3 linked regions of the Cricetulus griseus genome follow. The protein of the gene in region 3 binds, or shares a complex with, the protein of the main gene of each other region. Links are inferred from orthologs where the notes say so. Each region holds a gene or a part of one and is shown on either strand. Other genes may lie near its edges.

Region 1 (3,648 bases), on a different chromosome or scaffold from region 3:
CTTCAGTGACAATAAAACATTAAGAGCTACTTGGTGTTAGTTTCTGAACAATATTTAAGCCGCTTTCCTTGTTCTGATTACCTGAATTTGTTAGTATCTGCTGAACGGGAGTCACGCCTGCAGGGAGGGCCAAGGTGGCAGCCGTAGCAGCAGCACTCTGCAAGAAGAAAAACAAAGGGAAAGTCGTATCTACGAGTGCGCGCCAAGTAGACCTCAGTTTATCTGTAGTGTACTTTACAGCGCATGGAGAACTGACTGAAAGGCACTCGAACAACAGGGTGCGCTCATGTGGCAAGAGAGCCTAAATAACCTATTCAAGTCTTTCAAGAAATTGTAAGTCTAATGGTCTGGCTCCCCTAAAGAACTTACTCTAAGCAACCTCCTGATTCAAGCTCTCACAGACTCAGTATGTTTTTAGAAATACATGCACTCACAGTAAAGTTGTACCGTGAGGACACCATTCCATGACTGCCATCCTTCCACTGTTTGGTTCCTTACACCCAATTTCCTGCTTCAATAATATACTTAAGGCCAAAGTCAAGCCATCCTTGTTTCTTCATTTTTACATTTCTCCCAAAATCAACAGGTCTCCCCCTAAAAGACAATCTGAAGAATTCCTTGGTTTCTATAACTGGCAATTTTTCTAAGATGCCACATTATCTAAAAGGAGCATGAACACACTGACACAACAATCTAGGTAAAATATGTAATGAGATGAGTGTTTCTTATCCAAAAGTTTCAGAACTATCTCAAACATCAGATATTTTCCCCGGATTTAAAATACTTGTGTGTATATGCGTGCATGCGCACTCGCACACACACACACTCTCTACCTTGTATATGTGAACCCAAAGGTCTATTGATGGTATTTTTCCTGCATACATTGATACAAATCCTGGATATAATTTCGCATTTTAGTAACTCGTCGGCTTTTTCTTTTCTTTTTCTGAGTGCAGTCTTGTATGTCTGTATGTCTCTCTAGTCTGTAACTTACTGCCCAGACAGGCTGGTCTTCAACATCAAGTCAGTCTCCTGCCTCTGTCTCCTGAGTACTGGGGATCACAAGTGCATACCAACCTGCTTAGTCTTGTTTTGCATTTTAAGGTATGAATTTAGAGATTACAGGAAAACAAACTGTGCATTATGTTTAAGTCAGAGCAAAGATTCTTTTAAACATGAAACTTTAGAAACAGTGTCCTTGAAAAGCCACATGCTGTGTGTGCATGGGCAACACAGCTGGATTTGATGGTTTAGAGAAACAAAACAGAAGACACAAACTTGGGTTGGCAGGTAAAAGATAAGGGGTGGATCTGGGAAGAGTTGGAGTAGGGGGGTGAATATAAATAAAATACATATGAAATTTTCAAATAACTAATAAAATTTAAAAAAAAAATGGCTTTCCTGGATTGTTAGCATTCCCCTCCTCTTACAACTAACTAACTTTCTGAAACAGAAGGTGTCAGTATATGCTTGGCTGATTCCCTACAGCTATAAAGTATTGACCACAAAGAGTATTTGGTATTAAGGAAAAAATTACATAATTGTATGAACTTTAATGTTTAAGATTAAGCTACACTTTAGATTTGTGGCTAACAGCTATTTTGCTCAAATCTTCCATAATCCTCAAACTGTTAAATACAATACACATAGGAATAATTGCAATTTTTAAGTTAAATAACTGAAGCCAATGTAAGTGTCATGTTCAAGTCTTACCGTAATACTTGATGCATTCATATGTTGTATCAACTTAGAATCAGGAACAATAACTTGTGGTGCCGTAGCTACAAATAGACAAAGAAAAAAAAAAGATATTTGTAAACAAGGAACCATGAGGACACTTCACAGTCACAGTAATACTATAAAATGCCAAACACTTTTTACTTTTTTCATGCTTCTGTTGTGTTTCTACATTAAAATACTCTCAGACTATTTTCTATTTCAGAAGTTTTTAAATTTTTCTATGGAAATCAACAGCTGAGATATATTCATTTTATATTGAAAAACATTAAAATGACAATACCTAGGCCAGGCATGGTAGTACATGCCTTTAATTCTAACACACTCAGGAAATAGGTAGGTGCATCTCTGAGTTCAAGGCCAGCGTGATCTTCCTAGTGAGACACTGTCTAAAAACAAACAAAAAAAACCCTACAACATCCTTTGACCAACTTGACAGCTACCACAATCGTGGCACTTTAATTAGCTATTTAAAAAATAGAAATCAATGGGTGTAAGTGCTTGCTGTACAAGCATGGGGACCTGAGTCTGAATCCCCAGAACGCAGGTAAAAGCCAGACAGCCACACAGCAAGGGCACTATAGCACCAATGCTCTGGACAGCATATGGGGAGCTACAAGGACAATGAGACAGCAGAACAGCTAGCTAGGTGTATATAGTAGAGGAAAAGCAACAGAGACCCTGTCTCAAACAAATGGAAAGAAGGATCAACACCGGAAGTTGTCCTCTGACTTCCATGAATGCACCATAGTATGTGAGCAACTACATCTGTGTGTGCACACACAGGCATCACACACACAATTCAGAAACAATGTCAATGTCAGTCAAAGAATAGAGTTGTTTGATCCCGCAAATTTCAGAGAATACACAGGTAATCCCATTACCTTGATATCCTCTGAGTGAAAAAAATCAATTTTAATTTATGATGACCTAAAATCCTAGTGCCATGCCTAAAGGCAATAGGAGGAACAGTCATCAAGGATGTGATTATGTGGTACAGACTTAGCATAGGTATTAAGAGTTGGTGAGACAACTATACACTGAACTGAACTCTGGAACCCAGTTGCAGAGAGGGAGGAATGATGAGTAAAGGGGTCAGGACCAGGCTGGTGAATCCCACAGAAACAGCTGGCCTGAACAAGAGGGAGCACATGGATCCCAGACTACTGTCTGGGAGGCCATCACAGGACTGATCCAAAACCCTGAAACTTGATGTCAATGAGGATACCTCGGTACTCTATGGGGCCTCTGGTAGTGGATCAGTATTTTTCCCTGGTGTAAGAAGGGACTTTGAGAACCCATCCCACGTGAAGGGATGCTCTCTTGGACTAGACACATGGGGGAGGGCCTAGGCCCGGCCCAGGATGATGTTGTGGAATCTGGGGAGCCCCAAGTGGAGGGCCCTACCCTCCATGGGGAGCAGAGGGGGGAGCAAGGAGGGGACTGGTGAGGGGTTGGGGGGAGGGAAGGGAGAGGGAGAAGGGATTGACAAGTGAAATTATAATTTTGTAAAAATTAAATTTAAAAAAATAAAAAGAGTTGGAGAGATGGCTCAGCAGGCAAAGTCACTTGCCCCCAAGCCTAAAGACAAGAGTTCCATACTTGGAACCCACACGGTAGAAGGAGAGAACAGACTCCTGCCAGTTGTCCTCTGACTTCCACATGTGTACCATGGTTTCCCACTCCCTCACAAACACTAAATTAATTCTAAAAAAAAAAAAAAAAAAAAAAAAAAAAAAAAAAAAAGATATTCAAAACCTATAAACATTAAGCCAAATCATATAGGCTGTTCTACTACGTATTCATTCTGTATTTCACATACTGAGATGAAGCAAATGAGTTACCTAACAGTGATACCTTAAACTAAGCTTTCATTTATCCTGTTTCCTTTCCAGTCAAGATTCATCTAAG
Region 2 (4,294 bases), on a different chromosome or scaffold from region 3:
GTTCCCAGCACCCACGTAGGGCGGCTTCTAATAGTCTGTAGCTCCAGTCCAGGGGCTCCGAGGACCTTTTCAGGTCTCTGCTGGCACTAACACAGACAACTCAAAGTAACAACGAAATCTTAGCCGGGTGGTGGTGGCGCACACCTTTAATCCCAGCACTCAGGAGGCAGAGGCAGGCGGATCTCTGTGAGTTCGAGGCCAGCCTGGTCTCCAGAGTGAGTGCCAGGACAGACTCCAAAGCTACAGAGAAATCCTGTCTCGAAAAAACCAAAAACACAAAACAAAGAAACAACGAAATCTTAAAATCTCAGACGTCTAATGTAAGCCCCCTGGAAGCTCAGGCCTCCAGAATCCTTTCCCAGGACTGCGGCCATCCCAATCATCATGAGGAGTCGGAAACTTGATGCAAACAGCAAGAGGCTTTAATGAAAGGTAGACGTTTGTACGAAGGGGCTCTCTCAGCATGCAGGCTAGAGAGCAGCCCCGTCCCCCAGGCACAGGCCTTTTTAAAGGCAAAAACCACAAGCTTAGGGAGGGGTGTGACCAGAGTCACAGGTGCCTAAGAGACCCTTTGTCTTGAGGAGAGGGCTGGGAATCAGATGGCCTCCTGACCCACCAGCTGTAAAACCTGCAGACCTCAGGATATGCTTAGCTTGCTTGAGCAAATGGTACCTATCTCTTTGTTTCACAGGGACACTTAATTGTTAATGATTGACACATTGGCCGGTGGGGCAATCTGTTTTTTTCATGAGCCCCTCGGGGAGGGTGGCCATCTGGGAATTCTTGGTACCCAGTTATATTATGGCCTTGTAAGGGAGTAATTGCTTGCGGCTGGTAAATTCCAGGCCCTAAGTCCTAATAGTGGCCTTAGTTTCCGAGTTAGGCCGCCCTACATTCAGTTTGGAGAGTTTCCTTATCTGGGCTATATTTCTTTGCTAATTTTTAAGTCTTTCACTAGCAAGTGAGAAGCCACACCACCCTTTCTCTACAGCCGGGGCTTAGCCCGGCAGACACACCTGACCGCCCTAGGATTGGGGAGACTTTGTAGCGTGGCTGAGGGCGAGCGTTTAACAGGCTGCTGGGCTGTGTGCGGAGGAAGCAGCTCAAGCGACCGTTTTCCTGAAGATTCACCCCTGCGAGCCACCGAGCTAAGCCAACGGTCCTGAAAAAAAGTATTTTTAATTGACATCTCCGGGGCCTGGGGGAGAGCCGCGCGCTGAAGGGCAGCCAAACAAAAGAGAACCCTGTGCAAACGGCGACGAGCAAATGGCGACGAGCAAATGGCGACGAGCCCGAGTCTCGAACCCGCGACCGCCGCCGGAGCGAGAGCTGCTTTCGGCTTCCGCCGTCGCCTGTGCCCAGCCCGGGCTCTCGGCGGCGGAGGGGACGGGGCGGGGGCGGGGCTCCTGCGCGTCATTAGGCAGCGCCGGAAGCGCGCGGTCCGCGCCGGTAGTGAGTCCGTCACTGAGGACGCGGGGGAACGTTTGTGTGCGTACCGAGACTCTGCTTGGAGCCGCGGAGGTGAGAGATCGGTCTGAGGGCAAAAAAACTGGCTTTAGAAGGTTTTAGAAAGTTCCCGGGTGCCCGGGAGAGCTGGCTCCACGCCGCCTGGGCGCTCGGGAAACGGAGGCAGGGGACTGCCGCCTTCAGCAGACGGACGCCCGGGCTTTGGGGTTGGCTTGGGCGATGAAGTGAGTTCCGGGCCAGCCTGGGCTACCAAGTGGGGAGCCTCTCAAAGAGCCAAATAAACGTAAATAAATGGTCGGTGACTGGGCTGGAGGGGCGGCTCAGAGGTTAAGAGCGCCGATTGCTCCTCCAGAGGTCCCGGGTTCAATTCCCAGCACCCACATGGCAGCTCACAGCTGTCTGCAACTCCAGTTCCAGGGGACCTGACACCCTCACACCAACGCACATAAAATAAAATAAATTTAAAAAATGATTTATGACAAGATCCCCGGCGGAGTTAGCGGATTTTTGTGGGTTTTTTTTTTTTTTAGTTTATTTGTTGTTTGGTTTTTCGAGACAGGGTTTCTAAGTTTATTTTTATTTTTTGTGCATTGGGTATTTTGCATGGATGTCAGCTGGGTGCCCTGGAACTGGGGTTGCACACAGTTGTGAGCTGCTATGTGTGTGCTGGGAATTGAACTCAGGAGGAGCAACCGGTGCTCTTAACCTCTGAGCCATCTCTCCAGCCCCCCCCCCCTTTGCTTCTTAGTGTCGGGAGACGCTGGGCACACAGAGAGCTGTGCTTAGCCTCGGTTTCCCCGAGTGTAAAGAGTGATGCCCTCTGGCACCTTCAAGAGTGTCGTAGACCTTCGAGATGGATTCTGTGTTGTTGAGAATGTGTTTCCTCCTTCAGACCCAGCCCACAGTTGGTGGGGAAGGGGGGGTTTCAAATAAGGAATTATGATTTTTTTCCCCCTCATTCTGTAATACTGGGGTTTGATCCTCGAGCCGCTGTGTTCTGGGCAAACATTCTACACCTGAGATTTTCTCTTCACCCCGGAATCAGGACCTTGCGTAGCTGCTGGGGAAAAGGGAGCCTGGTTGGTTTTGTGTGATGATCTTGTTATTCAAGCTTTGGCTCTGATTTCAGGCACTAGCAATGGACGCGCAGAAAGACGTCCAACCCCCAAAGCAGCAGCCGATGATATATATTTGCGGAGGTAAGATTAACATTTAAGTAGGAACGTTTTTTGTTGTTGTTTTGGTTTTTTGGTTTGTTTGGCTTTTTTTTTTTTTTGCTTTTGTTTTGTTTTTTTGAAACAGGGTTTTTCTGTGGCTTTGGAGCCTATCCTGGAACTCACTCTGTACACCAGGCTGGTCTCCAACTCACAGAGATCCCCCTGCCTCTGCCTCCCTAGTGCTGGGATTAAAGGTATGTGCCACCAATGCCCTGCTTAAGTAGGAACATTTTACCTCAACTTTCCATATATGAGTACTGATCTTCAAAGTTATAAAGCGGAGCACTCAGGAGGCAGAGGCAGGGGGATCTCTGCGAGTTCAAGTGAAACACTTTAGCATCATTAATGTAAAAGTCCCTCGTTAAGATTTGTCTTTTCATCAGGAAAAGGTACGCTGCCGACAGCTCTTTTCTTTCCTCCTTGGTGTATTTAGTTTCGGGGCTTTGACTTGCTCTGGCGAAGTCTGTGGTTATATTTGGTTCCCTGTAGTGTTTCTCTTTCAGGCATTGACTGAACGTGTTTTATTCCCTAGAGTGTCACACGGAAAATGAAATAAAGTCCAGGGATCCAATCAGATGCAGAGAATGTGGATACAGAATAATGTACAAGAAAAGGACAAAAAGATGTATCCTTCTGACTGGGCTTTCTAAACGTAAAGAGGAATAACTAATACTCGGTTGATAAAGACCAAGTTCTGACAAAAGTAGCAACTTTTGGGTTGTTTATTTTTCTAAGCAGATTGAATGTGACTTTATTAATGAAGAGTTTATTAACTGAGAATGTGGGGGGCTCTGAAGGACGTAAATGTATATTATTTTAATATGAATTATTTTTCACCAAACTTGGAGAAAAGAGGCAGGCAGAGCTTTGTGAGTTCAAGGCCAGCTAGAACTACTAAGTGAGACTCAGTGTCAAAAAAAACAAATAGGGGCTAGAGAGACTCGTCAGCAGGCAGGTAAGGGCATCGGCTGTTCTTCCAGAGGACCTGTGTTCTGTTTCTAGCACCAACATAATTACTCATGATCCTCTGTAACTCCAGTTTCGGGGGTCTGATCCCTTTTTCCGACCTCCACCTGTACAAAGGACCCAAGTGTGTGTGTGTGTGTGTGTGTGTGTTTAAAAAACCCTGTAAGTGATTTTAGCTTTTATTTTACTTTTTTTTTTTTAGTTCAAATTAGAAACAAGCCTACTTCGATTGTCAATCCCTGCTCCCTCCTCTCTCTAGCCCTTCACCAACTCACCACATCATCCCCCCCTCTGCTCCCCAGGGAGGGTAAGGCCCTCCATGAGGTATCCCCAAAGTCTGTCATATCGTTTGGGATAGGGCCTAGACCCTCCCCCATGTGTCCAGGCTGAGAGAGCATCCCTCCACGTGGGATGGGCTCCCAAAGTCCTTTTGTACACCAGCTCTTTTTTTTTTAAGTAAACATGATTAGTGTTTTCGTGCCATTCATTATGGGCTCTAAGTAATTAAAAAATTAATCAATTTGGGTTTATGTAAATGTTTTTAGTTTTTTCAGGAATTCTTTGTTAGAAGTAGTCACTCTTGATTGTTAGCTTATGGGTAATCTAAAGTATGGGAGGAGAAATTAATAACCTAGTGGAAAATA
Region 3 (3,648 bases):
AATTTTAGAGAGAGACATGGCAGAAAGAGGTTGGAAGGATTGAAGGGAAAAGAGGGAATCAACGATGTAATTATATTTTAATTTAAAATAAAATAGTGGCTGAGAGATGGCTGAGTAGTTAAGATTACTAATTGCTCTTCAAGAGGACCTAAATTTGATTCCTAGCACCCACATCGCAGCTAACAACTGTCTAATTTTAGTCTCTTGGGGATCCAATGCCCGCTTTGGGCCTCCAAGGGCACTGCATGCATGTGGTATACAGATATACAAGCAGGCAAACACTTATACAAACAAAATACATTTAAAAAGAAAAATTAATACTCAAAATGTAACGGTTACTAACTTAATCAGAGATTTTCAAATACAGTCATATTTAGGGAATTATTTTCATGGAGCTGCTAGTGTGAGAAACCAGAAACCCCTCCACTTAGACTACATCACCACACACAAATCAGTACTGCTCCTCTTGCCTTCTTGGACGGCCAGCAGCACATCAGACTGTCGGGGGAGTATAGAGCCCTCTGTTACTATGCAGCATAATGGTGTTGGGGCTTTCATTTCTCCCTGTTCCCTGAACCCCAATCCTCACTCATAAATTATCTCTAATAAATGTTTGCTTATTTATTTCTTTGTGTATGTGTGGGAGATGAACCCAGAGTCTCTCTCACACATACTAGGCAAGAGTTTTATCACTGAACAAGTAATAAAACCCTTATAAAAACAATTTAGTAAACAAAATGTCAGTCAATATTAAAAAGGGTTTTCTATTGCTAGGTAGTATTTAGTTATATATCAAGTTGGGATACAGCGTATGAAAGACTACTACACAGTAATTCAAAGGAATGAACTACAATTACATGCATGATCAAGAAAATACGCAGGGCTGGCAGGATGGCTCAGTGGGTAGAGTGCTTGACAAGTATAACACAAGTTCCATACCAGTTACAAGTTTCTCACACTCATGAGTCCCTTCCTGTCCTTTCAGAGGCCACCTACTGTAGCTATTGAGTGGCAGCCATATTAAGTGCTAAAATGGATGGTTTTGTCATTCATTCAAAGACTTAGCTTTGACTATGGATTTTAACACATATCTGTGCGGGTATTCACTAGAAAACAGCATTAGAAAAATGTGTTCTCAGAAATAACACCATAAGGACCAATCTATTTTCTTAGGGCTTTGGCACTGTTATTAGTTTAAGTGGATGCCCACATAGGCCATTGCAGCAATCCTTCAGGGTGAGCATGAACAGAGTACCTAGAAGCCCATCACAGGAGAGCAAGGAGTGAGTGAGTGAGGCATGGTCTGTACTGGGCTTACTGACTTTACCACATGGCAGAGACAGGATTCCACTGCACTCTGCAGTGAGGTATGGCTCACCTCTCAAGGTGACTATGGTATGCATGCTCATTTAGACTTGGTCCTGTCCTGCTTGTCTGCCCACGAGGAATTTATCAACAGATCCCTTCCACTCCCATGGGAGGAGTCCTTTCTTCACATACCACCCAGGGGTGCAAATACCTCGGCACACTGGACTTTGGCAATGTACCCATTGTTCTGCAGCTCCATCCAGTTGGCTTCATAAAGCTTGGGCCCAATCAGGAAATTTAAGTCAACAATTTTGTCATCTTCCCGAACAAGGGTTGCAGTCAAACCCAGCTTACAGTGGGCCTGCACAATGGTCAGCACCCGTCGGAACATCTTGGCTGGGGAAACAAAGGGAACATTCATATCAGCATTTTCTACACTGAAAAGGTACCACACACAGCTTGACACTTGGCACTGGTCTGTGGCACTGTATGTGTAGACCTTGGGACTAGAGAGCTGAAGTCTGGTTCCAGACAAAAACAAAGTAAGAGTATTTCATCATGTCTTTTAGACCTGTTCAAGAGACAGAAAGAACAAGGGACAAATGACTTCAAGGAGTTCCAAGTTCACAAATTCCAGCACTCTCCTACCAACACTGTCAGGAGTCCAGACAACAGCAGGAAGTATGACTTGACTCCAAGCCACACAAATCATTCATCCTGAAGCTGGGAGAGAGACAGCCAGCTCTGCTCTGCTTCTTACCATCCCCCCTCAAACCAAAGAGCAAACAGAGCTCATGACAGTGACGAAGCGAAGCCTCCAGTTCGCCTAAGCATCCTGCTTACCTGTTCCCCTCCTAAAGATACCAATTACATCAAGCATGGAAGTGCATGCCTTTAATCTCAGCACTCTGGAAGCAGAGGCAGGAGGACTGTTGGGAGTTCGAGACTAGCCTATCCTATATAGTTAGTTCCAGGACAACCAGGAATACAAAGTGAGACCCTGTCCCAACAAAACAAAACAAACACACAACAATACCAATGAGACTTATTTTCGTCAACAAGCAACTTTTATTTTCTTCCTTTGCTTTGATTATTATAACTCCTGATTTCATCAAATAAACACATAAATGGGAAACAACTTTTTAAAAATCTTGCGTGGGTATGCTTGTGTGTGTGTGAATGCAAGCACCCACATGCTACATCACGTGTGGACATTAGAAGACAACCGCAGGTATCCTTCTTCATCTTCCATCTTGTTTGAGACAGCGTCATTTGTGATACACTGCTACACATGCCAGTCTAGATGAGTAGCAGAAGCCACTCCCATCTTCCATAGGACCAGAGTGCTAGGGTTACAGATATACCCTAGTGTTGGGAGCCAAATCTCGGGGCTGGGCATGAGATCCTAGGCCATGCTTGGCAGGCCACATAGTTAACCTTTACATAGCAGCTCCTTAGAACCTCAGCTCAAGAAAAGAAACAACTTGACCCAGTCCTCCACCCACAGGCTCAGTCACCTAGACAACCCTTCCTGGACCTCTTACTCATAAACTCTTTATCCTGCCAAACATCCTCTTTGTGGCTTCCTAATATCCTGCCTACACTAACACCTGGCTCACAAACAACCTATTCTACCCCTCCCCATATCCTGCTCTGCCGACTATATTACCTAGCCTGAGAAAAGTAAAGTTTGCCACTTGATCAGAATCCTGTCTTGTGGTCGTTCTTTCTGCGTCTCTTGTCCCCATTCCCTATCCCTGACTCTCTTGCCCCAGGTTGATGTCCTAACAGGTCAGGACACCCTAGCACATCCAGCTTTTATGTGGGTTCTTGGGACTTGAACTCTGATCCTCCAATTTGTAGGTTTCCATGGCCATAGATCTTAAAACTTTTAACACTTTGGAAGAAGATTAAGATGTTTTAAGTTGAGAGAACAATGAGATGGCTCAGCAGGTAAAGATACTTGCTGCCAGGTCTGATGACCTGAATTCAAAGTCTGGGATCCATGTGGTAGAAGGAGAGAACCAACTCCTATGGACCACCATGCCCTTGATGTGACATACACATGCCCTCCCCGAAAATAAATATAAAATTTTTAAGTGTTTTGGGTTGGGCCACACATTTTGAAGATAGCCTATTCCCCACACCCACAGGGAGCTGTTACCCTACTTCTCAATAAAACCTGGCTTGCCTGTCTTTCCAAAGGAGGAAAAAATAAGAGTTGGAGTTGGAGGTGTAGCTCAGTGGAAGAGCATACACTTCACATACATGAAACCCTGGCTACAATCGTCAGTATCCCCACCCCTACAGACATGTGATGTGGGATTCCCTTCTGTGTGC

What was found.
Region 1: Ercc3 (region 3) and Gtf2a1 share a complex: the UniProt entries of both Homo sapiens proteins name them as parts of the TBP-based Pol II pre-initiation complex. The link is inferred for Cricetulus griseus from reciprocal best matches to the Homo sapiens genes ERCC3 and GTF2A1.
Region 2: Ercc3 (region 3) and Polr2k share a complex: the UniProt entries of both Homo sapiens proteins name them as parts of the TBP-based Pol II pre-initiation complex. The link is inferred for Cricetulus griseus from reciprocal best matches to the Homo sapiens genes ERCC3 and POLR2K.

What each region holds. Positions count from the first base shown.
Region 1 is NC_048598.1:113,326,857-113,330,504, reverse strand, and holds part of Gtf2a1 (transcription initiation factor IIA subunit 1), read right to left. Parts: intron 2,716-3,648; exon of another isoform or gene 2,573-2,715; intron 1,782-2,572; coding exon 1,714-1,781; intron 158-1,713; coding exon 82-157; intron 1-81. UniProt on the Homo sapiens protein: TFIIA is a component of the transcription machinery of RNA polymerase II and plays an important role in transcriptional activation. TFIIA in a complex with TBP mediates transcriptional activity.
Region 2 is NC_048603.1:15,288,286-15,292,579, reverse strand, and holds the start of Polr2k (DNA-directed RNA polymerases I, II, and III subunit RPABC4), read left to right. Parts: upstream 1-1,424; 5' UTR 1,425-1,521; intron 1,522-2,596; 5' UTR 2,597-2,605; coding exon 2,606-2,666; intron 2,667-3,216; coding exon 3,217-3,309; intron 3,310-4,294. UniProt on the Homo sapiens protein: DNA-dependent RNA polymerase catalyzes the transcription of DNA into RNA using the four ribonucleoside triphosphates as substrates.
Region 3 is NC_048595.1:205,095,457-205,099,104, forward strand, and holds part of Ercc3 (general transcription and DNA repair factor IIH helicase subunit XPB), read right to left. Parts: intron 1,705-3,648; coding exon 1,520-1,704; intron 1-1,519. UniProt on the Homo sapiens protein: ATP-dependent 3'-5' DNA helicase/translocase. Binds dsDNA rather than ssDNA, unzipping it in a translocase rather than classical helicase activity. Component of the general transcription and DNA repair factor IIH (TFIIH) core complex.